7 linked regions of the Mus musculus genome follow. The protein of the gene in region 6 purifies or fractionates together with the protein of the main gene of each other region. This does not show direct contact. Links are inferred from orthologs where the notes say so. Each region holds a gene or a part of one and is shown on either strand. Other genes may lie near its edges.

What was found.
Region 1: the proteins of Lrrk2 (region 6) and Tuba1a purify together in Homo sapiens (affinity purification with western blotting; 4 studies listed by BioGRID and IntAct, with this or other methods). This does not show direct contact. The link is inferred for Mus musculus from reciprocal best matches to the Homo sapiens genes LRRK2 and TUBA1A.
Region 2: the proteins of Lrrk2 (region 6) and Myo1c purify together in Homo sapiens (affinity purification with mass spectrometry; 3 studies listed by BioGRID and IntAct, with this or other methods). This does not show direct contact. The link is inferred for Mus musculus from reciprocal best matches to the Homo sapiens genes LRRK2 and MYO1C.
Region 3: the proteins of Lrrk2 (region 6) and Slc25a22 purify together in Homo sapiens (co-immunoprecipitation; 3 studies listed by IntAct, with this or other methods). This does not show direct contact. The link is inferred for Mus musculus from reciprocal best matches to the Homo sapiens genes LRRK2 and SLC25A22.
Region 4: the proteins of Lrrk2 (region 6) and Emd purify together in Homo sapiens (co-immunoprecipitation; 3 studies listed by IntAct). This does not show direct contact. The link is inferred for Mus musculus from reciprocal best matches to the Homo sapiens genes LRRK2 and EMD.
Region 5: the proteins of Lrrk2 (region 6) and Sqstm1 purify together in Homo sapiens (affinity purification with western blotting; 3 studies listed by BioGRID and IntAct, with this or other methods). This does not show direct contact. The link is inferred for Mus musculus from reciprocal best matches to the Homo sapiens genes LRRK2 and SQSTM1.
Region 7: the proteins of Lrrk2 (region 6) and Slc25a11 purify together in Homo sapiens (co-immunoprecipitation; 3 studies listed by IntAct, with this or other methods). This does not show direct contact. The link is inferred for Mus musculus from reciprocal best matches to the Homo sapiens genes LRRK2 and SLC25A11.

What each region holds. Positions count from the first base shown.
Region 1 is NC_000081.6:98,950,702-98,954,845, forward strand, and holds the start of Tuba1a (tubulin alpha-1A chain), read right to left. Parts: upstream 2,801-4,144; 5' UTR 2,753-2,800; coding exon 2,750-2,752; intron 991-2,749; coding exon 768-990; intron 636-767; coding exon 487-635; intron 314-486; coding exon 1-313. UniProt on the Homo sapiens protein: Tubulin is the major constituent of microtubules, a cylinder consisting of laterally associated linear protofilaments composed of alpha- and beta-tubulin heterodimers.
Region 2 is NC_000077.6:75,654,536-75,658,814, reverse strand, and holds the start of Myo1c (unconventional myosin-Ic), read right to left. Parts: upstream 2,801-4,279; 5' UTR 2,632-2,800; coding exon 2,614-2,631; intron 1,324-2,613; coding exon 1,168-1,323; intron 1,063-1,167; coding exon 947-1,062; intron 464-946; coding exon 265-463; intron 177-264; coding exon 96-176; intron 1-95.
Region 3 is NC_000073.6:141,432,062-141,434,874, forward strand, and holds part of Slc25a22 (mitochondrial glutamate carrier 1), read right to left. Parts: exon of another isoform or gene 2,348-2,813; intron 2,269-2,347; 5' UTR 2,115-2,268; coding exon 2,095-2,114; intron 1,965-2,094; coding exon 1,839-1,964; intron 1,576-1,838; coding exon 1,520-1,575; intron 693-1,519; coding exon 602-692; intron 98-601; coding exon of another isoform or gene 79-97; coding exon 1-78. UniProt on the Homo sapiens protein: Mitochondrial glutamate/H(+) symporter. Responsible for the transport of glutamate from the cytosol into the mitochondrial matrix with the concomitant import of a proton. Plays a role in the control of glucose-stimulated insulin secretion.
Region 4 is NC_000086.7:74,253,318-74,257,486, forward strand, and holds the start of Emd (emerin), read left to right. Parts: upstream 1-1,369; 5' UTR 1,370-1,634; coding exon 1,635-1,716; intron 1,717-1,890; coding exon 1,891-1,998; intron 1,999-2,135; coding exon 2,136-2,213; intron 2,214-2,425; coding exon 2,426-2,559; intron 2,560-3,560; coding exon 3,561-3,607; intron 3,608-3,689; coding exon 3,690-4,020; 3' UTR 4,021-4,169. UniProt on the Homo sapiens protein: Stabilizes and promotes the formation of a nuclear actin cortical network. Stimulates actin polymerization in vitro by binding and stabilizing the pointed end of growing filaments. Inhibits beta-catenin activity by preventing its accumulation in the nucleus.
Region 5 is NC_000077.6:50,208,021-50,212,302, reverse strand, and holds the start of Sqstm1 (sequestosome-1), read left to right. Parts: upstream 1-1,482; 5' UTR 1,483-1,545; coding exon 1,546-1,750; intron 1,751-4,282. UniProt on the Homo sapiens protein: Molecular adapter required for selective macroautophagy (aggrephagy) by acting as a bridge between polyubiquitinated proteins and autophagosomes.
Region 6 is NC_000081.6:91,728,724-91,732,223, reverse strand, and holds part of Lrrk2 (leucine-rich repeat serine/threonine-protein kinase 2), read right to left. Parts: intron 3,309-3,500; coding exon 3,050-3,308; intron 760-3,049; coding exon 571-759; intron 1-570. UniProt on the Homo sapiens protein: Serine/threonine-protein kinase which phosphorylates a broad range of proteins involved in multiple processes such as neuronal plasticity, innate immunity, autophagy, and vesicle trafficking.
Region 7 is NC_000077.6:70,644,240-70,648,234, forward strand, and holds the start of Slc25a11 (mitochondrial 2-oxoglutarate/malate carrier protein), read right to left. Parts: upstream 2,801-3,995; 5' UTR 2,624-2,800; coding exon 2,529-2,623; intron 1,990-2,528; coding exon 1,837-1,989; intron 1,752-1,836; coding exon 1,545-1,751; intron 1,382-1,544; coding exon 1,291-1,381; intron 1,202-1,290; coding exon 1,111-1,201; intron 1,031-1,110; coding exon 931-1,030; intron 852-930; coding exon 800-851; intron 683-799; coding exon 527-682; 3' UTR 1-526. Other genes in the region: E3 ubiquitin-protein ligase RNF167 isoform 1 precursor, read left to right, coding at 3,630-3,713, 3,790-3,870. UniProt on the Homo sapiens protein: Catalyzes the transport of 2-oxoglutarate (alpha-oxoglutarate) across the inner mitochondrial membrane in an electroneutral exchange for malate.

The sequences.
Region 1 (4,144 bases), about 7.2 Mb from region 6:
ACCTGTTTAGGTTAGTGTAGGTTGGGCGCTCAATGTCGAGGTTTCTACGACAGATATCATAGATGGCCTCATTGTCTACCATGAAGGCACAATCAGAGTGCTCCAGGGTGGTGTGGGTGGTGAGGATGGAATTGTAGGGCTCAACCACAGCAGTGGAAACCTGGGGGGCTGGGTAAATGGAGAACTCCAGCTTGGACTTCTTTCCGTAATCCACAGAGAGCCGCTCCATCAGCAGGGAGGTGAAGCCAGAGCCAGTTCCCCCGCCAAAGCTGTGGAAAACCAAGAAGCCCTGGAGACCTGTGCACTGGTCAGCCTGTGGGAGAAAAGGAAATGTAATGTTTTATTAGGAGGGCATACTCTTAGCACTATTTGCAATTCCTTTAGATTGGGAGCCATATTTGCTTGATAGAAAAGACTTGACAGATTCTGACAGATACCAAGACACCCTCCCACTGCATTTTAAACCCATCCATATATGGCATTTACCAGCTTGCGAATCCTGTCCAGGACAAGGTCAATGATCTCCTTGCCAATGGTGTAGTGGCCACGAGCATAGTTATTGGCAGCATCCTCCTTGCCTGTGATGAGCTGCTCAGGGTGGAAGAGCTGGCGGTAGGTGCCGGTGCGAACTTCATCTGCAAAGGGAGAAGACGTCAGCCATCGGCCACCGAGGACACACACAAGCTCACTCACCCTTCTGGGTCTGGAGAGAGATTCTGAGTATGTGACCAAGAAGGAATGCCTGGGGAAGCCCCCAGCCAGCTTACCGATGACCGTGGGTTCCAGGTCTACGAACACTGCCCGGGGCACATGCTTGCCAGCTCCTGTCTCACTGAAGAAGGTGTTGAAGGAGTCATCTCCTCCCCCAATGGTCTTGTCACTTGGCATCTGGCCATCAGGCTGGATGCCATGTTCCAGGCAGTAGAGCTCCCAGCAGGCATTGCCGATCTGGACACCAGCCTGGCCAACATGGATGGAGATGCACTCACGCTGTGGAAAGAGGGAAAAAAATTATAAAATTAAGCTGTTATAATATTAAGCTGTATTTCTATTTTAGATCTTAATAGATTTCTAAAGTGTTTCTAAAAATAGAAATATTGTTGAAATTTATTTGGAGTCACATCCCTAATAACAGGAACAATGAGGAGTACTCACTACAAACACCAAAAGTGGGTGTGGCCTAGATGTCACCTTAATACTGCTTAAGACATGGTGCAAACCCATTGTTTCCAAAGCCTTGCTTGAATAGAACAGCTTTCATATTTGAAAAATATTTAAAGCATAGATTCTGTAAAACAAAATAATTATCCATAATAATACTAATTGCTTCTTTACCCGATAAGTAAGGATGAAGTTTTCATCCTATAGGACCTGGTATTTCATCATGGACATCTGCAGTGCGGCTGGGGCCAACAGCCACACCCTTCTGTGGACCCCATCAGTACTCTGGCTAGGCTACATAATAAAGAGTCTCACACTATAGGACCTTCTATTTCAACACTGACATCTGCAGTGCGGCTGAGGCCAGGAGCCACACCCTTCTGCAGACAGACCCCATCAGTACTTTGGCTAGTCGACAAGCTAGACAAAGTCTGATTTCTGCATTGCCACGTTCTCTGTGCCTGGTGCTAGCCTGTGCTGTTACATTATTTAACAGAGAAAGCTCTATTTCCAGCAGCTGTCTATGCGATCTCTTTGTGCTGCTTTCATGGTCCCTCCTAACCCTGGCTGGGGCCATTAGCCTGAATTAATGAATTAGTGCACATTTATTAGAACAAAAGATGGTTGGGTGCAGAGTATAATTTTTTTCTTTGCAGAAAATCCATTGTTTTTTGAAGGTTTTCCACTGTATGGAATGGAAATATTCTTAAAGCAGGCTAAGTTAGAAACAATGAGCGCCAACATTTTTTAAAAAAACAAGTGAAAAGATAGCTAAATTTAAAAGTAGAAAATAATATTTTTATCCTATGAATCTCTACATACCACTAATATTTCATTCTATAGAGATACACGTCTGTTGTGGAGGGACTACTTTCATTGTCTGCGGGGGTGGGGGGCGGGGAAGGGCGTTTCCCTGGGTTCTGACCATCAGCGTACTCTAGGATTCACAAAGTGGGCTTTGTCATTCCCCAACCATCCAGCTCCCCTCCCCCCTCAGCGAGATGTCCCCGTTAAGCAAATCGTATTTTTGACAGCCCTGCAGACGAAACATCCCATGACTACAGTTCCACAACGATTTTTTTTAAAGTAAAAATAAAAATAATTAAAAAAAAAAAAACCGCTCGGAAGAGGCTTAGTGAGAACCAACCCCTCCCAAAACGCCACGGAAGCAAGAGACAAACAACCCCGCCCCTGCGCCTCCCTGACAGCGGCTGCCATGGATCCGACGCAAACTAAACATTTTCCTAGCGAAGTGGGGCGGTGTTTCTGGAGTTCGGGCTCGGCCGCCGCCCCTGCCCTCCTACAGCAGCGGACCCTCGATCCCCCACCCGTCCCCGGCGGTCCCCGTGGTCCCCTGCAGTCCCTGGCTCTGCCAGCGCTAGCTCATCGGCGCTGCCTTTGTTCTTCCCGGTCTGGGCGTTTCCGTGTCCCGCACTGCGGCGGCGGGACTCAAAGACTAAGATAAACTTAAAGCATGGAGACCACCCTTTCCCCGCAGAGGTGACCAAAGCCTTAGACGTTTCCTTGCAGATCTGGGGCGACTGACACCCACCCTCTATCTACCGAGAGCCGGGGAAGGCTTGCTCACCATGGTTGCTGCTTCGCGGCTGCCGGGTGGATGGCGGAGGCGAGGAGGAGGTGTTGCTTCTTACAGCGCGACTCTTAGGCGGTCGATGTAAGAGAACCTGCGGCACTTGGGCGGATGCGGCTCCTTATATACAGCTCTGTCACCATGGGGATGGGCCAGGGCCTTTTCCTGTTGGTCCAGACCCCTCTGTCTGCCCAGAGAAGCCGCGACAGGAGAGTGGTGATTGGTGCAAGCGACATGGTATGAGGTAATCTCTCCCCCACCCCTTCCCCCTAGCATCCGTAGACTTTGCATCCTTCAGACAAAGGCCGTGCAAAGGCAGCTAGCCGAGCATCCATTATGGGGTGGAGTTGGGGAGGGGTGGAAAGGGAAGAAAGAAAACTGGGGTTGGATGATTATACGTAGTTTAAACCTTAAACTGTATTTAAAAATCATCTAAGGTTTTTCCCAACACTTAATCACAGAATTTATGTTTAGAATCTTTTTGGAAAATTCCAGCTTTTCATTTTTAATATACTGAATTTAATTACGTTCTGTCAGAATTCAACATCTCTATTTGCTTTAAAAAGTAGCAGAAGATACGGGGGTGGTCAAAAAGGCGTGGCTGAATGTTTAGTTTCATAGTTATTGTATTATTGTTATTCTTTATTATTATTTGAGCAAAAGTCAGTACGAGTAGACCACGCCTGTGACCTCAACAGCACCTGGGAGTCAGAGGCAGGAAGACTTGCAGCTCAAGGTCATCTTAACTGGCCTTAGTGGTTTATTCCTGTGTATCCCAGCACTGGGAAGCCGGGGATTGCAGCTAATTTGTGCCCACCCTGGATATATAGTGTGATATCCTGTCTCAAAAACCAAAAGAAAAAGAAAGAAAGAAAGAAAGAAAGAAAGAAAGAAAGAAAGAAGAGAAGAGAGAAATAATATACAAAGTAGTACTTAATACTAGAGAGCTTTCTTTCTTTAGCTGTAATTCTCTCCCATCACCCCTCCGTGCCCGCCCCCCTACCCCACCCTACCTCACCCCAGAGCCTGTGTTATTTTGTCCCTAGAAATGAGCCATCCTTTCTAATATGGAATTCAGAAACTGTAAGGAGAAAGAATTGAGTTTAAAAACTAGCTCTTTGTGTGGGCTTGTATTTCTCCAGTCTTTTTTTTTTTTTTGGAGGGGGAGGGGTGATATCAAGTAAAAAATAACTGAGATGCCAAATTAAAAAGAGGAGCGTTTTATAATATAAAAGGAAACCATTTTGTGATGTTTTCATCCCCAGACAACTGTGCAGTGCCAGCCCTGCTGCAGTTTTATGTAGTTCCCTGAATTCTGTAAATAGCCCCTTCCGCAGCTGGGCTTCTGACTGTGGGAACTGTAGCTGCTCTCCCCAAGGCTGCTCAGCCAGA
Region 2 (4,279 bases), on a different chromosome or scaffold from region 6:
GCACCTGGAAGAGTGCCTGGCACGTAGTAGGCACTCAACAAATATTGAATCACTGAATGGCTAACCCACCCCTTCCTTATTATACCCACAGGTACCTTGAAGTCAAACTGCACATCCATGTACTTTCCAAACCGGCTGGAGTTATCGTTGCGGAGAGTCTTGGCATTCCCAAAGGCCTGAAGGTGGGGAGTCGGGGACAGGAATGTGAGGGAAGCCTGGCATTGTCTTGTCTACCCCTCTCCTCAGATGCTGCAGTCTCCTCACCTCTAACACGGGGTTGCTCTGCAACAGGCGGTCTCGCACTGCGCCACCCCGTTCAGGGGCTGGGCAGGTCTCTGCATAGAACTGGAGCAGTCTCTTGGTGGCCTCTGTCTTGCCTGCCCCACTCTCTCCAGAAATCATCACTGCCTGGTCCCGACGCTCAGTACGAAGTGCCCGGTATACAGTGTCAGCCACTGCAAACCTGGGGCAGAGATTTGTCAGGGAGTTCCCAGAGTGGTACCCCACCTATACCTGACGGGAACCACTCTTGTAAAATATGGGGGTTATAACCTGGAAGATGGAGAAGGGGGTGGACAGGTGGGAAGCCCTCACAGGGTACACCTGCCCAGCTGAGGATCACTCCAAGTGAGGTGCCAGCCATGGGGAAGCTGGGTACTTGAATGAGGCTGGGAGTCCTCACAGGTGGGCCATGTTAAGATAGTTAAAGGAATACTTCAGGATGGGAACTGAGCTCAGGAGCTGAGGGTCCTGGTTGGTGGACAGAACTCAGAGTTCAACTAATGAGAACTGAGGTGACCATAGGTGAACAACCATGGGATTCCTCTCAGTAGTGACCAGTGAGTCACCCAGGGGTCAGGGAATCATTTCAAAGTGGGGTTTGGATGGGGTCATCTTGCAAGAGGACAGGGTAGGTCACTCCTGGAAAGGCAAGGGAATCACTTACAAATGAGGTGGTACTTCATAGAAACTGACACCACGGTAGCGTTCCATATGCTGCCGGCTGTAGATCTGTAGGTCTCGGTAGGGATTGACAGAGACTAGGACAGGACCGATGTAGGTCTGGGGGTTGGGGGGGTGGGGGAGAAGGGTCAGAGGCTTTTCCTGAAGGTTCCTGCTGCCACCTTCCCCTAGGTCCTTGGGCCCAGCCGTGCTCATGGCACTCACATAAATGAGGTTCTCCCGGAACCGCCGCCGGAGGTTCTCAATGAAGGCAGCCTCACTGGTGAAATTCTCCAGCAGGACAAAGTCCTGCACCCCTACCCGGTCTCGGGCAGTCAAGGCGCTCTCCATGGTCACTCGAACCCCGTCACTGCCCAGGGCCTGTGAGGAACCAGCCACAAGACGCTGTCAGAGTCTGCAGGTTAAAGTCTCGTTTCCTACCCTGCCTGCAGGATGTAGAAGGCAGGGACACTTTGGACACAGGCTACAGAACATGTTCCGGACATATGGCTGGGTTGCAGGATGCTGGAATGCAGATAAGAGACCCTATGGGACATATGGACCATGCACACAGCCCATAGGAGCACAAAGGGCCCAGCAGACACTGAACGACTGCATGGAATCCAGGGCAGCGGCATTTTGAGTTGAGGAAGGTGGGACATGACAAGGAGCTCCTAGGAACGGCAGAAAGAATGCTGGTGTTGACCTTGGACAAACCTCCTCCTTTCTCAGGACTGCTTCCTCTTCAGAGAACAGGAGTGGGTTAGTTCAGGTGACCTCAAATCCCAGCTACGTGTTACAGGTGCTTTGGAGGACAAACGGTTCAGAGGGAATTCTGCAGACAGGGAGGGGCCATCTCTCCAACTCCCATCCACCCCAAATTCCCAGAAGTAGAAGTTGTTTAGGGATCAAGCCAGAGCTCACGTCCTAGGAGAGGGTTTCCCCATGGGCCACCACCTCAGCTGGACTTGATGCCCACCCCAGAAGCGGGTGGCCTGCCCTCCCTCAACTGGAGCCACTCCCTCCTCTCCAGCTGCTAGGCTTCCCCCCCCGCCCCCCCTCCTCCCGCAGCTCCTCCACCGTTGAGAAGCCTCAGGAGGTGGAGGGTTCTCCCAGGGGAAACCCAGCTGCCACCCAAGGGTGGGGCAGGTACAGGCTTAGCTAGACCCTCAAGCCGCGTCTTAAGCAGAGCTTTCCTTTCAAAGAGGGCCTGCAGATCTAGAAAATGCTGGGGTAGGGGGGTGTCAAGGAAGAGGAAGGTACTGGGAGCCGCTGTAAATTCCAGGGAGGTCACCAAGTCTCCCCTGACCCTGGTTTCTAGCCCTAGTTGCTCAGTTCTCTGCTTCTCCGTCACCCCTCAAGTCCAGGGCCTGTCTCCCTCAGACCTGCCCACCCCTGACCCACCCAGCCCGAAGCTGCTGCCAAACACCACCGCAGCCAACGCCCCCTGGTCCTCAAGTGGGAGGGGTCTTAGCCATCACCAGGGGCGACCACATGGTCCTGGGTTCGAGCGTTCTGCAGCCCTCTCCGCCTCGGCCTCCTGTTCTAGCAACTTTCAGGGACATCTTCCACCGAAATTCCTGGGCCGCGCCCGCTTCAAGGCCGGCCCTGGAGCGCCGCGGGCCACCGAGAGATACCCTGGACCCCAAACCTGCCCGCGCCCATGCTCACCGATGCCCGGTAGCGCATCCTGCCGGACCCGGCGCCCCGCTCCGCTGCCCGCGCCTCTTGGTCTGTACTCGGCCGCGGCGTAACCGAGGGAGGGGCCAGCCCGCCCCCTGCACCGCCCCTTGCAGGCCCCTTGGCTCAGGGGGCTCGGAGTCCCGACCCTAGGACCCACTGCAGCCGGCCTGGCCGGGCTGGGTGGGAGGGGGTTCGGGACCTAAGAGGGGGCGCGCGAGGGGCGGGGCCTCCTGCGTGCCGCGGGCTCCGCCTGAGTCAGGTTTTCCAGGAGGAACGTCGTTAGTTCCAGGGTGGGGCCCGGAACCCGCGCGGCCGCCGCGTCTACACAGCTCCGGAACTCACTTCCGGGCTCGTGTCTACAGCACGGGGCTGGACACCCCGCGCGAGACGAGGGCTGAAGCCCGTGGGTCACCGGGGAAGCAGGATTTCTCTCCCCACCCCCAACCTCGAGTCCCGGGAAAGTTAAAAATAGAACGAAATGTCCAAATACGGCCGGCGCCCCGGGACAGGCGGAGCCTCTGTACGGGACACTGTCCACCCCCATACACACTCCCAAAGGACTGGCTCCATTCTTTAAATCCTTAGAAAAGAAATTGTTTGAGACAGGGTCTCTTTACGGAGCCCAATCTGGCCTGGAACTCAAGATGCCTCCTGCCTCAGCCTCCTGAGTACTAAGATTACAAACTTGTGCCAAGAGAGCCAGAAGAGAAACATCTCTTGAAAGATCTCTTCCCTAGCTAAGAAACAAATCCTAGGGTCAGAGCAGGGTGCCCTTTTTGACCCAGCATGACCCCTAAAGAAGCCTGTTTGCCGAGTAGGCAGCACCCTTCTGACTTTCCTACGTGTGCAGCCAATAACCTTATGTTCCAGCCTGAATATCCTCCGGACTCAGTGCCCTGCCCCATGGGCTCCTCTCCTCTCTTCCCTTCTTTCTCTTCCCTCTGGATCTCCGCTCTTCCCTGAACACAGGCCATCAGCTGTCTTCCTTGTCTGTCCAGCACCCTCGCTGGTTCTCTGACGACATCAGCCCTTTTTAGGCCCGAGAAGAGTGTGTGAGAGGAGTGGAGTGGACTTTGGGTCAGTTGCCACCTCTTGTGGCATATGGATGTCTACGGTAAAACAAAACAACAACAACAAAACCAGCCTGGCCTTTGCTTACTAGCAGGATGATGATCATGAGTAAGTGCCTTAAGAGGCCGATTGGCTGATACTTGCCAGAATTGTTGGGTTGCCTGAAATGAAGCACTGACCAAGCCATCAACACCACTACTACCCTCTTCCTCTTTCATTCTACACGCACTGAGGGACTTGGGGGAGAGTCCAATCTTCTTGTCTAGTGAAGAAAGCGTCCGCCCCTATATCTACCATTTGCAAAGGGTTCTCAAGTGCCTTATCTATTCCTCGCCCTTTGTAAGGAACCTGAAGCATATACCGAGGGTATACACTTGGTCTAGGGAGGATAGGGGGAGTAAGAACCCAAAGCACCAAAGCGCCCCACCCCTTGGACGGGGACTCCCTGGGGAGGAGGTGAGTCTGCGACAGGTGCTGCCTTGCGGCCTCAAGGGGAAGGATGGTTCATTACTTCGTGAACAACAGCTCGAGCCACAACCCGGGGGTGGGGGTGGTGTGCGGCGCCAGCTGGGGAACGAAGCCC
Region 3 (2,813 bases), on a different chromosome or scaffold from region 6:
ATGGGGGTGGTCACAATCACCTGGCAGGTGCCGGCCCCGCAGCCTGCCAGCATCTCCTTAGGCAAGGTCAGCTTCTGTCTATAGAGCGGGGGCAGGACTATGATTGAGGTGATGAGAAACAACTCCCTACATGGGGCAGGGACAGTCTGATTCACTGGTGTAAAGGGGGATGGGAACTGTGGAGGTCCCACAGGGGCACAACCTCGGGCTCCAGACTCTCCAGCAACAGGCGTCCAGCCCAAAGGACAGATGGTCTCACACGTAAGGGCTCATAAAGAGAAATGGGGAAGAGAAGGGGCCAACCTTGCAGCCCCACAGTCCAGTCATGGGGTAACTGCTTCATGCCCCCAAATTCTGGCAGCAGATGGTGGCTAGGGGCCAACAGCTGCTGACTCAGCAGCTGCCTTGCACCTCCTCACGTGGGCAGCAGGCAAGCACCCGCCCCCACAAGGTCAGAGATGGTGCGCAAAGGGACCGAGGTAGAAGAGCCTCTGGGGTCTGTTTTCAGTCTAGGGGACTTCTGGGGCGTGATGGGTGGGGTTAGCAACACACCCTTCCTTAGGACCTGGGCCCCAGCAGCCAGCGTGGCCGAGCCTCTCACCCATCCTTAGAGAGCTGGTGTCTGAAGAAGTCATTAGCTGCCAACTTGATGGCCTTCTCCGGGGTGACCAGGGTCAGGTTTACTGCTGCTCCTGTGGGGCATCTGAGGGTCAGCTAAGGCTTGGGGGACACAGGTAGGTCGGGTGGGGACAGACTCGCTGGGTAGCTTGGGTTAGGGAAGCTTTGGGAGAGCACTTTGCTCCACACTGGCAAAGCCCTGCCTGGCACTCCTTGGCTGCAGCCTCCTGCCCTCTCACCCACATATGGGCTTGTTTTGTGCCAGGCAGGCGGGGGAACCAGGCGGGATGGGGTGGCGCTGTGTCCTCCCTCCCCAGCATTCCACCTCCATCTGTCTCTGGCTTTGGCAGAACAGGTCTCTCCTGAGAGGCAATGAGGAGCAAGCCTCCAAAGACTATGTGGGGGGGTCCTCCCTCCTGGGGACAGGTGCTCCCACTGGCAGGACTACAGTATGGGTCAGGGCTCAGAGAAGGCTGTGGATGGCTGATCAGAGCTGAGGGCTCAGGGCTACACAGCATCTGGGCAAATCCACCCTCAGGGATTGTTTCCTAAGCTGCTTTGTTTAATGCCCCTGGTCTCTAGGCACAGATGTGGTCCTGCCTGTCACAGAAAGTAGTGGAGGAGACCTAAGCCACTACAATAGAGAAAAAGAAACAACCTCTGTCCTGCTGTACCAGTAGAAGACAGCAGGGTGTTTCAGGTGAGGTTTGAGACCTGCCACCCTGCAGAAGAACTATCCCCCCAGACATCCAGTCCCCCCAGCATGAGGGGATGGCAGGTGCCCCCACTGTGCTCAGGTGCTACCAGTATCACACGTCTATACTTACAGACCAAGCCCAGACATGCATCCCTTGTCCCTGCTCCCAGCCAGACCCATCTGTCACCCATTCCCAGGCCTCACCCCTATACATGCCGAAGTAGCCCTCGGAGCGGATGGTCTTGATGAGGCAATCAGACCTGTAGTCAAGGGGACAGCAATAAGTGGTGGCCAGCTGGACCCTGGCCCCGAGTCAGGCAAGGGCAGCCAGTGTTGTCTCTACCCACTATGCTCATCCAAGGCTGACAGAGAAGCCAAAGACTCTGTCAGGGTCAGGGTAGGGTGGGGGAATCTTTCTCAGGTCTGCCCTGTGTTGTTCCCCCTTCATCAAATTCAGGGGTGCAGGAGCAGAGATAAAAGGTGGCAGCTGCACCCTCACCCCTCCTAGGCAGCTCTCACTCACATGCTGGCATACATGCGCTGGCCATTCTGCTGGTTCTGCAGCCGTGTCTTAGCCAGGTCGATGGGGAACACGCAGGTGACCCCGATTAGCCCAGCGATGCCACCATTGATGAGCTTGGCCGGCAGGCTGTGTGTGCAGGGTCAAGTGTCAGGATTAACATCCTCACCCACAGGACAGGGGGATAGGGAGGTCATGCTGGAGAGGGGGGGTGACCAAAAGCCAAGACCAAAAGCCCAGGGATTGGGGTCCCTCTGACCTGATCTGCTTATCAGCCATTTACACCAAGTGAAGCAGGAGTCAGGCCGGGTGATGTTGGTGGAGGCACTGATGGGGAGGGGCTGATGAGGACGATGTAGGTGGCTGGTGGTGGTGGCTGGCGGTGGGGGAGGGGATGTCCTCACCTTCAAAGCAATTTCAAGTCTTGTGCCACCTGAAAGAAAGAAGGACAGAATGAGTGGTAAAAGGGGCCTATCAGAAAAAGAAGCCCCTCTCCCCGCCCACCATCTCACAAGGGCGTGAAGTCCCTCACTCCCTAGACCCCATGCGTCAGGCTGCAGCCTTCAAGATACCCAGAGGATACACAGGGGGGTGGGTGGGGGAAGAAAGGGAGGCCACCCATCCCTGGGGCCACCTGGATTCACTTCAATGCCCTCCCCGTGGCGTCCTCCCAGGCAGCCAGGAACTCACGCTCACACGCAGATGCTCACGCACAGAAGGCAAGCTCCAGTTTTTAAAGGGCCAGATGCCTTTTAATGCAGTGGTACTTGGACCCTGGACTTGAGCTGTGATCACCAGTTCCCACCCTTGATCAAAGGCAGCTAGCTAGCATCTGCCGTTTTTTCAGTGGGATGGGTGGTAGTGGTTTCTCCTTTGTGGAGCTCCTGGGCGGAGCAGGCCCAGTTCCCTAACAGCTCACTGGGTCACGGAGCCCCTTCCCTTAGAGAAGCAAGATTCCCACCCACACCGAGCTGGTTG
Region 4 (4,169 bases), on a different chromosome or scaffold from region 6:
AACCTGTGGGTTACAACCCCTCTGGCAAACCTTGTCTCCAAAAATATTTACATTATGACTCATAAAGTAGCAAAAATTACCATTATAAAGTAGCAACAAAAATATTTTGTGATTGGGAATCACCACAACAGCATTAGGAAGGTTGAGAAGCACTGATTTAAGAGATCAGGCATCCTACACACTTTTTCTACGCGTACCCCTTCTTCTAGATCTCTCCAATAAAGGGCAGCCTACCTAGATCCACATGACTTTGTGTAGAATATAATGGTCATGGTCACTCTTCAAGGCAACCTTTCTCTGATCCAGATCCTTAGTAAGCCTCCATCAATTCCCATGGTTTGCCTCTAGGCCAGCAGTTCAGAACCTCTGGGGTCGCTATCCCTTTGGATCTCACATATCAGATATCCTGCATAACAAATATTTATATTTTAATTTATAGCAATATTGAAATTACATTTATGAAGTACAACACAATAATTTTATGGGTGGGGAGTCACCACAACATGAGGAACTGTATTAAAGGATTGCAGCATTAAGGAGGTTGAGAAATAGTGCTCTAGGCTTTGTACACTTGTCTAGGTCTCTAAGGTCACACCAAGCTTAGAGACTATTCTACTCAGCCAGAGAAGACCTCTCCCCCCAGAATTCCTCAGGGCCCAAGGTAGAACAGTGAGTATGGCAGGTACAAGGTGTACAGATCTACATGCATCACAGGGCAGGCAGGCAGGCAGGCAGGCAGGCGCCCTCTGATTGTGTGCATTGGCATACCCTGGACCTTTGGAAAGCTGCTTGATCCTGTAGTGCTGGTGGCCACTTGGCCCAGTGCTGGCCCCATTTCCTCGCGAATGGAACTAGGCATTAGAGAAGACGACGGTGGGAATGGGCCTGTGCAGGTGTGCAGGCCAGGGTCATGGAGACTGGGAAGACCAAAGGAGATGGGTAGGGAGTGCCAGGGCTCTGTGGGTGTCTATGTTAGGTGATGAGAGCCCTGTCTGACAGCATACAAAGAGCTCTCAGCAGCGTTAGGCGCTCTGGAAGGGTTCGCTCTCAGGATTGCTTTACACTGCTGTGGATCACACTGTGGCTGAGAATCCTAGGCACTGGAACACCGGGGGAATAAAATCAGGAATGAAGCCAGTAACAAAAGTATGTGAGATCTCACAGGTTGGGAAATCTCACAAGCCGGTTTTGGTCAAATCACTTGCCTCATCCCTAGTAAGTTGCGCTCTAAAGCATCCTCTAGTGAGGTCAGCCAGCTCCGCCCCTCGGCGGCCTAGCTCTCAAAGGAAGTCTCAACCGCTGCCGCACGAGTTCTGAAAGCTCCGCCTTCTCCCTGTTCGAGCCAATCTCTCACAAGCGTTACGTTTCTGTTTGCCAGCCCAGCCTGTTCCCTCAGCTAGACCGGTCTGCACCGGCCGTTCTGGCTAGTTTGGGCCTGCCCTGAGGAGCGCGCGCAACCTGCGTAGCCGCGGCTGTGACGCAAATGTGACGGCGGCGTGACGCGCCCACAGCCGCTCTTGAGGCTCTGGCGCTTCTTCTTCTAGGCTCCGAGCGGTTGGTTTCTTGGGCCCTGTCTGTAGGCCCCGGCCGCCCCTGGCGTTCAACACCGCTTCCAGGTGCCGGCCTTGTCTGCCATGGACGACTATGCGGTTTTGTCCGATACTGAGCTGGCCGCAGTGCTACGCCAGTACAACATCCCTCATGGGCCTATTGTGGGTATGCTGCACCCGGTGGCGCTCAGAACCTCTCTTGGTCCACTGCTTTCCCGCGCTCCTCCCTGAGCGTTCTCCCCACCTCTCCCTCCCCTCAAGTCCCCTCCCCGTGTTCCCTTGTGCTCTTGGGGTGCTCGGCTCACGCCCTCTGACCGCTTCGCACCCTGTGTCTGGGCAGGTTCCACTCGCAAGCTCTACGAAAAGAAAATCTTCGAGTACGAGACCCAGAGAAGGAGACTCTTACCCCCCAACTCGTCATCTTCTTCATTCTCCTATCAGTTCTCAGGTGAGCCCTTAACTGCAGAGCCCCAAAGAGCAGCTTGGGGCACACGTCTTAGGGAGGGAGGGTGTGGCCGAAGCTATTGAGGGAGTAGGGGGAAGGCTGGAGATCGAATGGTCCTGTCCCTCCTCCTTCACATGCAGACTTGGATTCAGCCGCCGTGGACTCAGACATGTATGATCTGCCCAAAAAAGAAGACGCCTTACTTTACCAGAGCAAGGGTAAGGCAGGTATAGGGTGGGCACTGATGTTTTTATCCCATGCTTCCGGGATTTGGGCACAGGGAAACCCCAGACCTCCCTCACCTCCTTGTACCAGTTCTCAGTGGCTTCAGAGGGGAGAAACTGACACAGCACACACAGGCTGGGGAGGGAGAAGAGGAGGCCAGTTAAGGGGCACCACTTTTTCCTCTACCACTGTTTTCCTCCCCAAGACTATAATGATGACTACTATGAGGAGAGTTATTTGACCACCAAGACATACGGGGAGCCTGAGTCTGTGGGCATGTCCAAGAGCTTCCGCCAGCCGGGGACCTCACTTGTAGATGCTGATACCTTCCATCACCAGGTGAGTTGGCTGGTAGGTATACCTGGGGTGCAGCCTTAGGGAATTCTAGGTTTGGATAGGTGCAGAGAGTGGATCTTAGGCTTTCAAATCTGGTTAGGGTCAGCATACAGCTGTCGGGTTAAAAATTCTATGTTGGAACCTTCAAAACTATTGGATTTGGGGATGCTCAGCAGAAGAGTATTTACCTATGGTTTCATCTCCAGCAGCACATAACAAATGTTTTGGGGTTTTGGCTTTTTTAAAAGATTTAATTACTTTAATTATACATATGTGTGGCCAATTTTTGTTAGTTTGTGGGTATTTCCCCCCCCCCACTTCACCCCCAGTAATGAAAAATTCCCAGAATTCCAAATATCACACAATTGTAGAAACTATCTGAAACTCACAGAAACACACCTTTGCTAAAAGCATGAGGCAACTCATAGTTAGCTGCTGTGAAGCAGCCCCATATTCCACACCTAAGATTAAAACAAAAACATATTCTTACAATATTTCTGTGTTTCTTAAAAAAGCCAAAATTCCAGAATTCTCACATACATGTCTGTGGGTAGTATGCATGAGTGCTGGCACCTACAGAGGTGAGAATTGTCATATTCCCACTAGAGCTAGAGCTACAGGTAGTTGTAAACTGCCTGATGTGTGTGCTGGAAATTGACCTCAGGTACCTAGGAAGAATAATATGTGCTCTTAACCAGTGAACCACCTCTTCAGCCCACAAACTTTTTTGATCAGAGAATATGTAACAGCTCCTGCACTCTAGTAATTAATCTACGATATAGATTTAAGCCTCCTGAGAATCCAGGGGAATAAAAGGATGCTGGAACAAAGTCAACAGGGTTAGTAACTGAGCAGCAAGGCCCCACAGATAAAGAGGCTCCACATACTCAGAATGGGGGAGGGGGGGGCAATTTTCTGGTCCCTATGATATGATTAGAGCAGGCTAGCCAGAGACATTTAAGGAAAACCATTCTTCCCCATTTCTAATCCTAATTATTCTGCAGGTGCGTGATGACATTTTCTCTTCTTTAGAAGAGGAAGGCAAGGATAGGTGAGTAGTGAACATATGTAGGGACAGGGACAAATTCGAGTCTCAGACTCTCCTGCCTACCTGTTGCCTTCTTTTGCCACAGGGAGCGCCTCATCTATGGCCAAGACAGTGCCTACCAGAGCATCGCACACTACCGCCCCATTTCCAATGTCTCCAGGAGCTCTCTGGGCTTATCATATTATCCTACATCCTCCACCTCTTCTGTGTCCTCCTCTTCATCTTCTCCCTCTTCATGGCTTACCCGACGTGCCATTCGGCCAGAGAAGCAGGCCCCTGCTGCTGCTCTGGGCCAGGATCGACAGGTCCCACTCTGGGGCCAGCTGTTACTCTTCCTGGTCTTTGCTGCCTTTCTGCTCTTTGTTTACTATTCCATACAAGCTGAAGAAGGCAACCCCTTCTGGATGGATCCCTAAGGGTATTGGTTTTAGAGCAGCTCTTACCAGGAGTTTTGGCTGATTGCCTTATCGGTGTTTGCTGGGGGTGGGGAGGGTAGGGGCTTTTTTGTGTGTTCTAGTTGGGTGCAAGGTCTAGCCTAAGGCAATGCTTGTCTCCCACCTCATCC
Region 5 (4,282 bases), on a different chromosome or scaffold from region 6:
CTGCCTCCCAAGTTCTGGGGTTAAAGGCATGTGCCACCACTGCCCTGCTTAATTTGTTTTTTTTTTGAGAGTAGGACTTGCTATGCAAGCCTGGCCGAGCCTTGAATTAGAATTCCTCTTGACTCAGCTTCCCAAGGGCTGGGGTTACAGATGTGTGTCATCATGCTAGCTAACAGGTCACTCTGGCCACAGAAAGCAGCATTTCCTGGTTTTGGCGTTTGTATTGGGGGTTGAACCTAAGATGTAACACATACTAGGCAGGTGCTCTGTCACTGAGCTATATCCCTATGCACCAAATTCCCATTAATGATATCTCCCGGGTATATCCCTACTAAGCTAAATCCTCATGACCTGTATCCCTACTAAGCTAAATCTCTATAAGCTGTATCCCTACTAAGCTAAATCTCCTGTATCCTTACTAAACTGTATAGCCAGATTCTTTATTCCCGCCCCCCAGCACCCAGACTTTTTTTCTTTCTTAGAAGCCTCATGCAGCCAAGGCTGGCTTTGAACTCTGGAACCTCTGACCTCCCAAGTACTAGGATCACTTTCTATTTTGAAACAGTTTCACCAAGTTGCTCAAGCAGAATATCTTGAACTTGGTCTTTTCCTGCCTCAGCACCTCAAACAGCTGGAATAACCAACCTGTGGCACAGGACTGGCTATAGCTTGTATTTTGGTTCCTAGATGGAGGGCAGGTGGTCTGATCCCTTTGTGCTTTGAAGCCACTAAGGCCTGAGATACATGTACCTTCCGAGAGAGAGAGAGAGAGAAAGAGAGAGAGAGAGAGAGAGAGAGAGAGAGAGAGAATATGAATGTGTGTGTATGTGTGTGTGTGTCTGGGCTGCAGTGAGGAATCTCTGGTTGCAATGAACAGGTTGTGACTACTGCTGCCTCTGGAGCCCTGGCTACCCCTCTTACAGGGTGGGTTTGTGAGAAGTCACCAGTGCTTGTCCAACACCTCTCAACCTGATCTTTGTTAAATTGGGTGAGGCCTAAGATGGTGGGTGATGTTCCTTTATTCAGTGAGGGGCTGGTCATGGTGGATGCCTGGAAGGGGGTGGGAGTGGGGGCTACTACCGGGGACACTATGTTTAGGAGGGTCGGAATAGCATCCTGTGAGACAGCCTGTTTGGCTAAAAGAATGGCTACCTGACAGTAGACATCTGTGTCCTCCTAGCTTCTGGGCCGTACATCCCCCCTGGCTTGGGGACGACACTGCTGAGTCATAGGCAGGCCCAAGCCTGGGAGGTACCTAGGCTCGATACTTACGGGTCCTTTTCCCAACGACTTGAGGCTGAGGCTGGTCTCTTGTGGTCACCCATGTATTCGGTGGGAAAGAAAAGAGTAGGCAGTGGGGTCGTCTCGACCCCGTACCTTTCAAGGGTCCCATCAAGGGGGCTCCAGCGGCCGCCCCAGCCTAGGGGAGGGGCGGGGCTCATAGAGGCTCCGCCCCCACGAGGCGGGGCTCCCCCGTTTTCTATAAAAGCTGGGCTCTCGGCGCCGCCGCTGCCCAGCTGTTTCGTCCGTACCTAGACCGCGGTTATGGCGTCGTTCACGGTGAAGGCCTATCTTCTGGGCAAGGAGGAGGCGACCCGCGAGATCCGCCGCTTCAGCTTCTGCTTCAGCCCGGAGCCGGAGGCGGAAGCCCAAGCCGCGGCCGGCCCGGGGCCCTGCGAGAGGCTGCTGAGCCGAGTGGCTGTGCTGTTCCCCACGCTGAGGCCTGGCGGCTTCCAGGCGCACTACCGCGGTGAGGGCCTGGGGCGGGGAAGCCAACCTCCCCCGCCAGGGAGTAGTAGGTCTGGGCGAGGACGAGGCGGCGTGTCCTCTGGCTCCCCGCGGGGACAGGGTGGTCAGGCGGCCGCTCAGGTTACATCTAACATCCAGCGGTTCGCTTGCTCCCCGTAACGCCCGGTGGTGGGTTCAGTTAAAGCCCCGGAAGACCTGGGACCAGGCAGACGTGGAGGAGGGGTGGAGAGGAGTGACGCGGATAAATAAGCAGCGGGGGCGGGGTGGGGCAGCCCGTGGGAAGGGAGGTAGGGGACCCCGGAACTAGCTCAGTCTCTTGCGTTGGAGTGGCTGGTGGCTGCATGGGGTGGAGCTAGAGGTTGTTGACAAGAGACGAGTGGACAAGACCCTCCCTGTGGGAGGGAATGGTTTTGCGATCTCTATGGAGGACTGTGGGTAGGCCAGGTTGGTTGGTCAGTCTCTCTCTTTTCTGAAATAAAGCCACGTAGCCTGATTGGCCTGGAATTCACGAGTGGTTTAGGCCGTCCTCAATCACTCCAATCCTCTTGTCTCAATTTTCTAGTGCAGGAATCACAGGGACTACTGGACAGAAAATTTTCAGTGTAACTGCGTTATAACCTAGGACCTGTGCAATTCACCCAGTAAAAGTGTATAACGATTATTCTTTCGTATTAGCAGAGACAGGTCTTACTATATGGCCGGGATGGCCTGTATCTCTAAATTGTCCTTCTGAGTCATCTTTGTGCTAGGCATCCAGTCCAGGGCTTCATGCATGTTAGGCCCTCGAGCAACTGAGCTACCTCCCCAGCTCCTTGCATTTAAAAAAAAAAAATGAGTTGTATAACTATTTTCACATTCGGCTTAGAATCTCTTCATTGTTTTATAAATTTTATTTATATATTACATAAAAATTATATAACAATTATTGTAATAATTATTATTTTATTATATAATTTTTTTCCTGTTTGTCATCTTGTATCCTTTCCAGTTCCAGGCAATGGCTGGTCTACTTTAGTATTCATTTTACTATTAGGAATTAGAACACATTAAAATGGCTTTTTTTTTTTTTTTTGGTTGCTTTTTCAAGACAGGGTTTCTCTAGGTAGCTTTGGCTGGTCTGTAGACCAGGCTGGCACAGTGAATCTTTGTTCATTCACTTATTAATATGTCTAAGGCCCATTTGTATTACAGCTCTCACTAGTACATCTTCCCCCCTCCAGTACTGGGAATTGAACCTAGGGCTTTGCATATGCTAGTCAAGGGCTCTATTTCTGTACATGGGCAGTATTTAATTTCTTTTTGTGTATGAAGAATAGTCTTCTTTGAATATGTCATGTTTAATTTATCTGGTCTGTAGTTTATGGACACTGTTTCTTTTGAGGCAATCTCTCTCATCTCCCTTATGGTAGCTGTTGCTAAATGGTTGCTCAGAGGCTCAGTCCAGCCTGCAGGTGTGTGGTTTTGGCCTGTATAAGGTTTTTGTACTGTATCAGGTTTTATACAGACTATTTGTACTGACATAGAAGCATATGGCTGTGATCCCAGTTATTGTGAGCTAACAAAATGAAGCCAGATGGGTTTGAGAAATCGCTCAATGGTTAAAGCCTTGGCTGCTCTTCTAGAGGACCCAAGTTCTGTCCCTAGCACTCATCACAGCTGCAGGTCCTGGAGACCCAACACCTCTTCTGGCCTTTGTGGCACACACATACACTTAAGTGTGTGTGTGTGTGATGTGTACATACAATATTAAAAAAACAAAACAAAACCTGGAAGCCTGGTTGCATGTTTGTAATCCCAGCACGAAGGCGGCTCATCCACAGGTTGTAGGCTGTCCTGCTCTAAGTAGTGTCAGGCCAGGTAGGGCTACATACTAAGATCCTGCCCCTGAAAGCAGAAAACATAGAATTGACAAAAACAGAACAAACAACAACCTCAGAACAACTTAGATGCCAGGCATGGTGGCTGCACGCCTTTAATCCCAGCACTTGGGAGGCAGAGGCAGGCAGATTTCTGAGTTCGAGGCCAGCCTGGTCTACAAAGTGAGTTCCAGGACAGCCAGGGCTATACAGAGAAACCCTGTCTCAAAAAACAAAACAAAAAAACACCAAAAAACCCAAGAACAACTTAGATGGAGCCTGAATGTAGTGGTTTCTAGCTGTCTAGTTGAAGGGAGGGGACAGATGGACTTACGTCCTTTACTTCTGAAGCCTGAGGCCTTTGAAGGGCTGGGCCATCAGGACTAGGGTGGGATCTCCCAGGTGATGGACCCACACCTGGTTAGGCGTGGCCTGAGGGCACAGGTGGCCCAGTGGTTAGTGGCAGGAAGCTGGACCCTTATACACATATACACATGACATATGTTCTGCCTTCTGCATGTAACTAATCTAGGACCTAGGTTGGAGTACATATTCATGCCGTATCGGAATGAACGGCCATCTTGCTGCTTGGCTCAGCAGCCAGGTTGAGTGTAGAGCCTTAGTAGATGTCCCTTTACCACTGGGCTCTGTACACTGCAGCAGATGCTGGGTGCCTC
Region 6 (3,500 bases):
CATAATAAAGTTAAGAAATAACTTTCCGGCTGGGCATGGTGGCGCACACCTTTAATCCCAGCACTTGGGAGGCAGAGGCAGGAGGATTTCAGAGTCTGAGACCAGCCTGGTCTACAGAGTGAGTTCCAGGACAGCCAAAGCTACACAGAGAAATCCTGTCTGGAAAAACCAAAAAGAAAAGAAAGAGAGAAAAGGAACGAGAGAGAGAGAGAGAGAGAGAGAGAGAGAGAGAGAGAGAGAGAGAGAGAGAGAGAGAGAGAGAGAGAGAAGAAATAACTTTCCAAGTGTAGTCCAGACTCTTTCCTTAGAATTTCTTGATTTTCTACCTATAACCCTGAAAGGCTGGCATCATTCACTTATAAAGGTTAAGAAAATGACAGAGCCACAAAAGTCTAGTGGTATCAGCGCATGGACAGCAACTCCGGTGTGAGAGTCATCTTGCTGTAAGTGTGTACTTGCATGCCTGAGCCCTTTGGTTCACACTGGGATGCAGCGCACAGTTTCTTGAGCTACAGCATTCAAGGCCAGCGTGTAGCTATGAGCCACAGTGGATCTGTTTGAAATAGATACCTTCGCTATCCAGATCATCGCTCTGGCCAAACACACTGTCCATAGAAGAGTCGGGAATAAAGGTCCATTCTCCAAATTTCGCCAGCGCGTCTTCAGAAAACTTGCCGTCACTGCCTGAGGCCACGCCTTCTTGAAGGGTGTTTCTCATCTGATACCGGAGCACTTTCCTCGCTAGGACAGATCCTGTGTCTAAAAATAAATCAAACGAAATCAGTAATTATCCAGCATAAACATAACCTTTCTCAAGCTCCTTATACAGACCTGATGCTTTTAAAATAATTTTTCCTTGAAGAATAACTTTACTATATACAGTAATAGTGTATATTTGCCATATACTCTTTTCTATTACATTCTAATTTTAGTATCTGTGCTGCAGCTATATGAGGCTTGGGTATTATGGGCATTTTCAGACATGAAGCTAACTTAACTCAGGGCAGAGTTGGACTGTCACATGTGATGCCACTTGCAAGCTCATTAAGCTCTCTCAGGACAAATCAACTTACCTAGAACAAGTAGGTGGCCTGTTCAGAGCAGGATTATAGAAAATTAAATAACATGATTATGAAATCTTATGACAATGCTAAAATTTGTAACAAACAAAATTTGTTCAGTGGCTCATGTGATACAATTTTAACACCTGTGCGGGCTTATTTTATGCCACCTTGACACAAGTTAGGGTCATCCTCAAAGGAGGGAATCACAGTTGAAAAACTGCCATGATGAGATTGGGTGATAGAAAGTCCTGTGGGGCATTTTCTTAATTGGGGGTTGATATGGAAGAGCCCAGCCTACTGTGGGTTACACCATCCCTAGGCTGGTAGTCCTAAGTGCTGTATAAAGGAAAGTTGAACAAGGCATGAGGAGTAACCAAGTAAACAGCCTCCTCCATGGCCTCTGTACTAGCTCTTGCCTCTGGCAGGCTTCACTGAAAATAAACCCTCTCCCCCCCAAGTTGCTTATGATGAATTTCAACCCTAAGGCAATTCTCTTCTCAAGTTTACATTACATTTTATATTTATTTTATACCAAGAAGAAATGTGCTGGCAGTCACCATTGATCTACAGAAACCCTAGGAGATTTCTTCATAATAAATACAATATGTGAGTCAATCAAATAAGACCTGAGAAATATTTCAATGCTATGCATTCAAATTTTTCCTTTAGACAAGCAACCAATGGTATCGTGATTTTATCTTCCAGCCCAAGTGACATTAACACTTTGAAAATTACATCAAGACTTGCCACTGTAAGATCTTCACATGAAATTAAAGGAATACCAAATTTACATCCGAGGTCACAAACCCATTCTGCCAGAAATCAGAGAACAAAGGTGAGCAAGGTAGCTCACATCTATGATCCCACAGCTCAGAAGGCAACGGTGGGTTTGCCTTCAAGTTTAAATTCAATCTACTTTACTTAGAGAGTTTCAGGTCAGCCTGGGCTACACAGAGACACCCTGAAGAGAAGGGGATATAGAGATGGGGGAAGGAAAAGAGAAGATGGAAGAAAAGGAGAGAGGGGGGAGGGGAGGGAAGGGGAACGGAGGGAAGAGGAGGGGCATCATTTGTAGAACTATTATTCAATACAGTGTTCTATTTTTACCTAAGTGTGATTAACACAACCCAATGGAATTTTCAGCAATCAAAACACCATTACAATGTTAAGTTTGTAATCCTTTCTCGACCAGGTTCTTACTACACTGCCGACCCTGGCCTCACAATTCCCGTCTGAACCTCTCTGGTCCGTGTTTATCCACATTTAAGTTTGCTGCCTGATTCTCCTGTGTGACTGCAAAGGAGTCACTGGATGGCTTTCCCATGGTTTGTTGTTTTGTTTTGTTTTGTTTTGTTTTGTTTTGTGTTTTTGAGTATTTCTCTCTTCCCCCTAATCTTTTTATAACGTTTATTAATAGTTTTCATGTATATTCTCATACATAAAAATCTGTATCCTGGATGTCTAAGAATACATCATAAGTGAAAGAGTAAATAATTAAAATGTTTTATGTGTATGTCTTTCCCTATACAAATAAAACATTGTATACATTAGATTTAAAAAAAAATTCAAAAGTACATGGATTGAAAACATCAAAAGGTAGTGAACAACGGTCCTCAGGAAGAACACTTTTAATTACCGTTGATGTGTGAAGTTCTTGCTATATAGCACATGCTTTCTGTATCATTTACTACCAGCTCACCCTTGCACATTTATGAATATCCTATGACCATATGTCACATGTAAAGTAGTAACATAGACACTAAGATTCCAAGAGTGGGAAAAGCTAACTGACATCACCATGCTTATAATCTACTACAAAAAGATTGTAAAATTTAAAAAAATACAATTATCTACCATGATGATTGAGTTTGTGTACAGTGCATTGGTGGGATAGTGTCTGTGTAGCATGTACAAAGTCCTAGGTTCAAAACAATGCTGTTGGGTCTACTTGAAGTAAGAGACGACACATTCTTATTGGTACTTACTTGTTTGCTTCCTTAAATTGGATGACTTATCTGGAAATAAAGGACCAAGCCAAGAAGGATCAATTTTTCCTATGCCAAATCCTCCAAGGCAAATGCTGTTGTTGGCCAGGTCCAGGGCAAGTTTCCTGAGGAGCAAGCTGATGACCTGGCTGTCGCCCTTTTGGATGCTTACGGTCAGGGCCTTCCGTACATCTTGTTCACGACAACCACCATTAAGCAACAGTTCCACCAATTTAGGACTGCTCTCTTTCTCACATACCTAGTTTCACAAAAAAGAAGAAGTGGACACAAAACTTGAATTTCTTCTCTTTGGCTAGACAGAAAAACAGAGCTTGCTATGGTCAATCTTCATACCTCAAAATTAGGTTGAAATGAAATGAAATAAGGCAAAACTTATTCCTGTAGTAGACATAAAAGATAAAATGAAATTATTGCCACAGATGCAAGGCTA
Region 7 (3,995 bases), on a different chromosome or scaffold from region 6:
AACTCCAGTTTGTTTTCCAGAGATATAAGCTTCTTTGTGCAGCTACCTCCCCCTATGATCCTTAAGACTATCCAGATTTGGGGTTGGTATTTCAATCCAATTTATTAAGTCCTCAGGGAGGAGGAAGGCCACATCTTCCACCATAGACCCTTTGTCATCTTGACAGCTTCTGCTTTCTCCTGTCTCCTCAGCTCTGCCTTGGATTCCCCAGAGAGAGGGATCTGCTGTCTGGTGTGCCCTGAATCTAACACCCAAGAGGAGACTAGAAATCCTTGGTGTGTGTCTTAGGTCTCCTCAGGAAGAGCCAGGGGCAAAGTGATTCTAAGCATCAGGCAAGCACAGCAGGCAGGCTGGAGTAGGGGGAGAACAGACTAAGTTCTTTACCGCAAAGGAGAAAACCACACTGGAGAGGGAAAATAAATAGAATAGCCCAGGGTAGCAGAATCCAGGTCCTCCAGGGCATAGCGACTGTAATAGCAGTGGATGGCTTGGAAGCCTGGCACACTAGTCCTGGGACCATGCCAGATCAGCCACTGAGGAAGAGACGCTTGTAGGCCTTGTTCATCTGTTCCAAGAAGATGAAGGTGAGGACAGTGTGGGGGCCCAGTCGGGCATAGTATGGTGTGAAGCCCTTCCACAGGCTGAAGAAACCCTCATAGCGGACGACTTTCAGCAGCACATCCTAGACAGACAGGCAGGCAAGTGCTGGGGCTAGGCCCTGGTCCTGGTCCAGGCTCTGTCCCCTGTCCCTAGCTCCCTTCGCATCCCTCCCAGGGCACCCCTTCCCCCCCCTCCTCACCAGCCCATTCTTGTATTCTGGCTTCCCATCAATCATCCGCATATTCTGGATCCTGAAAGAGAGTCAGTATGAACATGAAAACCAGAAAGGGGGGCCTCCCCAAGTTCTCCAGTCCCAGGCTGCAGACTCACCTAGTTTTGACGATGTCCACAGGCATGGAAGCAGCAGTGGTAACGAGGCCACTGATCATGCTGGCGCAGAAGTGGCAGAGAATATTGTCAGAGAAGTAGCCTGGGAGGTGAAGCAAAAGGTGGTAGTCAACTCTCAGGTAGCTCAGGCCAGGCTCAAGTTCTCAGCTCTGGGTCTCTCACCTGAGTCCAGCAAGAACTGCTTAGATTGAGAGTAAGAGGCAAGCTGGGCGGCATTGACAACGACAGCTCGAGCCATGGTAGGGATGCAGCCCTGGAGGTGGAGGGTGGAGGCAATGGAGACAGTCAAAAGTGCCAGAGATCTAACCCAGCATGGCCCAAGACTCCAACCCTCGCACTCACCCGCCACAGTGTGGGGACTCCTTCTTCCCTGGCAATCCTAACTAGGGCATTAAACACATTTTTGTAGCCACGGCGCTGGTCAGCTGGAAGCCTGGGGGAAAGGCAGGGAAAGGCCAAGATCAGGACAGACCAGGGTCCATGGAACAAAGAAAGGGAAGCCTGAATAGGTAAGTGCCCTGATGTAGATATAGACTAACAACACCATCCTAGAGTCCAGGAATGGGGCTGGAGTTAAGCTCAGAAACGGAACTCACCGACCATCAGCAGTCATCCTGATGAGAGCCACCTCAGCTGGCGTTCCCACAAATGCACCAGTTGCACCTGCAGTCATGCCAATCAGGGCTTTCAGAAGAAAGCCAGGGGGTGTACCATCAGCCCCAGTCAGGCGCTCAAACAACACAGTATATATTCCAAGGCGAGTAGTGGTGTAGGTGGCCTGGCGCAGTAGACCAGCTGACAGCCTGAAGAGTAGAAATGTCAGCACATCAGGCCAAGGTCTGGACCTGCCAACCAACAACTTCCCTCCCCAACTTGAGGCCACAGTACCCAGTGTAAATGCCCTTCAGGCCTTCTGTCTTCAGGATGCTGGTGAGGGCATGGAAACTGGTTTTGTACTCTCGAGTCTTGGCCCCTTCACCACTCAACTGCATCCGGTTCTTCACCAGGTCCAGGGGCTGCACAAAGACTGTAGCACCCATCCTGAAGTGAGGCAGGAAAGGGAATCAGAGGTCAGTGGTTCCAGCTCTACTGCAACCTGGCAAGAAGTTACAAAGGTCAGGGCCACTAAGGATTCAGGAGGCTGGTGGGCATGTGTGTTAAGTGTGTGCATCAAGGGCAACGTGCCAGCAAAAGAGTCCAGTTGCCCAGTAAGGGGCATGCAAATCAAAAAGCCTCAGGCAGTTCTTTAGGGTTCAAGCAGAATTAGGACTACAGGCGATCTAAAGAAAGGTGGAGAGGGCGTCCCCATCCTAAGACTCCAAGCAGTCCTATAACAAAGCCTTTAATGACCTATACCCACCACCCAAACAGGCACAACGAAGCAAAGGTGGTGGAAACACAGGGTAAAGATCCTTGAATGCAGCACAGTTGGGTCCCTGCAAAGGATGAATAGATCCTGGCAACCCATCAGGGACCCTGCACCGGCTCAATTTACTGCAACACACCCCAAGTTACACTGGGCCCAGGTGCTTGCTCCCGTCCCTTCCTCCTTTTCCCCCATCACTGGGGCCTGAGCTTACCCAGCCAGGCCCCCAAACAGGAACTTGACAGACTTAGGGGAGGTACGGGGTTTCCCGTCCATCCGGCCAGCCCCAGGACTCGCCGTCGCCGCCATCGCCCCTTGATGGCCCTCGGCTTTGGGTCCCGTGCACGTACAGCCCCGCTCGCGCCCAAGGTGACACCAGCGCGCAACAGGGTGAGGGCGCGCGCGCGCACGCCCCTCCGACAGGCAAATCTGGCTCCAGCTGGAAGCTGGGGCGGGCGCAGGCTCGGAGCGCAAAGGCAGCCGGGGAATAAGGCGGGGCTAAGATGCACGATGAAGGGGCGTGGCCGATTTAGGAAGCTACCCTAAATTCCCGCCCCTCCGGAATTGGAATCGCGGGGAAAAAAAAAAAAAAAAAGCTTGTTTGAAAACCTCGCGAGAGCAAGTGAATCAGCCGAGTTCGGGCTATGAGGCCTCTCGCGATATATTTCAGCGGCGAAAGGGGGTGGGGGGGTGGAGGGAGGGTGGTGGCAAGCACTCTCGCGATACTTTGAACGTACCGTGGCGGCCAGACGAAGGAGAGGTTTGTAAACAGGGCAGCTCCAGGATCTCAGGGACTGAGGGAAAAAAACTAGATCGTCTCCTGAGCATCGAAGCTCCCTCCATCTCCGCAGGCTCCTTCTACATGTCAAACATTTCTTTCAACCGGCCTCTCGGGACCGGAAGTCCTCCGTCCTGAGCGTCCAATACTGGAATTGGCCTTTCTTACCGGAAACCCTTTTCCAGGGGCATAGGAAGACAGTCTACCTGGCCGGAAGTCCCACCTCTTTGAGGTTTCTCCTACCCTTCCGGAAGTTTTTTTGTTGTTGTTGTTACCTGTTTGCCTTCGCTCCTATTCTGTCCTATTTCTGTACTAGAGAAAGATACATTGTCTCCCCTACCAGCTCCGCTAAGCTGGTTTGATAGCTCACTCCCTGAATCGGAGTTCCTTCCCCGACGCCCCCATGTAGCTGAGAAGTGGGACCTAGGGGTGGTTGGACCCCTGGGATCCTGAAGGAGAGGCAGAGGAGGGCGCAGGACTCGGCTTCTGCTCCTGCGATCAGAACGCGACCTTCGCAGCTTTACCCCTCCCGCTGCCATGCACCCTGCGGCCTTCCCGCTTCCTGTTGTCGTGGCTACTGTACTGTGGGGAGCAGCCCCTGTCCGAGGGCTGATTCGAGCGGTGAGTCTGAGGGTCGGACGGGGACAGGGTGCTGAGAATGGGGTTCAGACTGAAACACGTAGTGTTCCGTCTGCAGACTTCGGAGCACAATGCCAGCATGGACTTTGCAGACCTTCCAGCTCTGTTTGGGGCCACTCTGAGCGACGAGGGACTGCAGGTGATGTTTTCCCCATTTCCCTATATGGATCCTGGGTAGGGGCGAAGTGGCCGTGCTCAGGAGGTAGGAAGTAGTGGAGTTAGCAGCGGAATGCAGTGGACTGCGGATAGTTCAATGATAGGGTG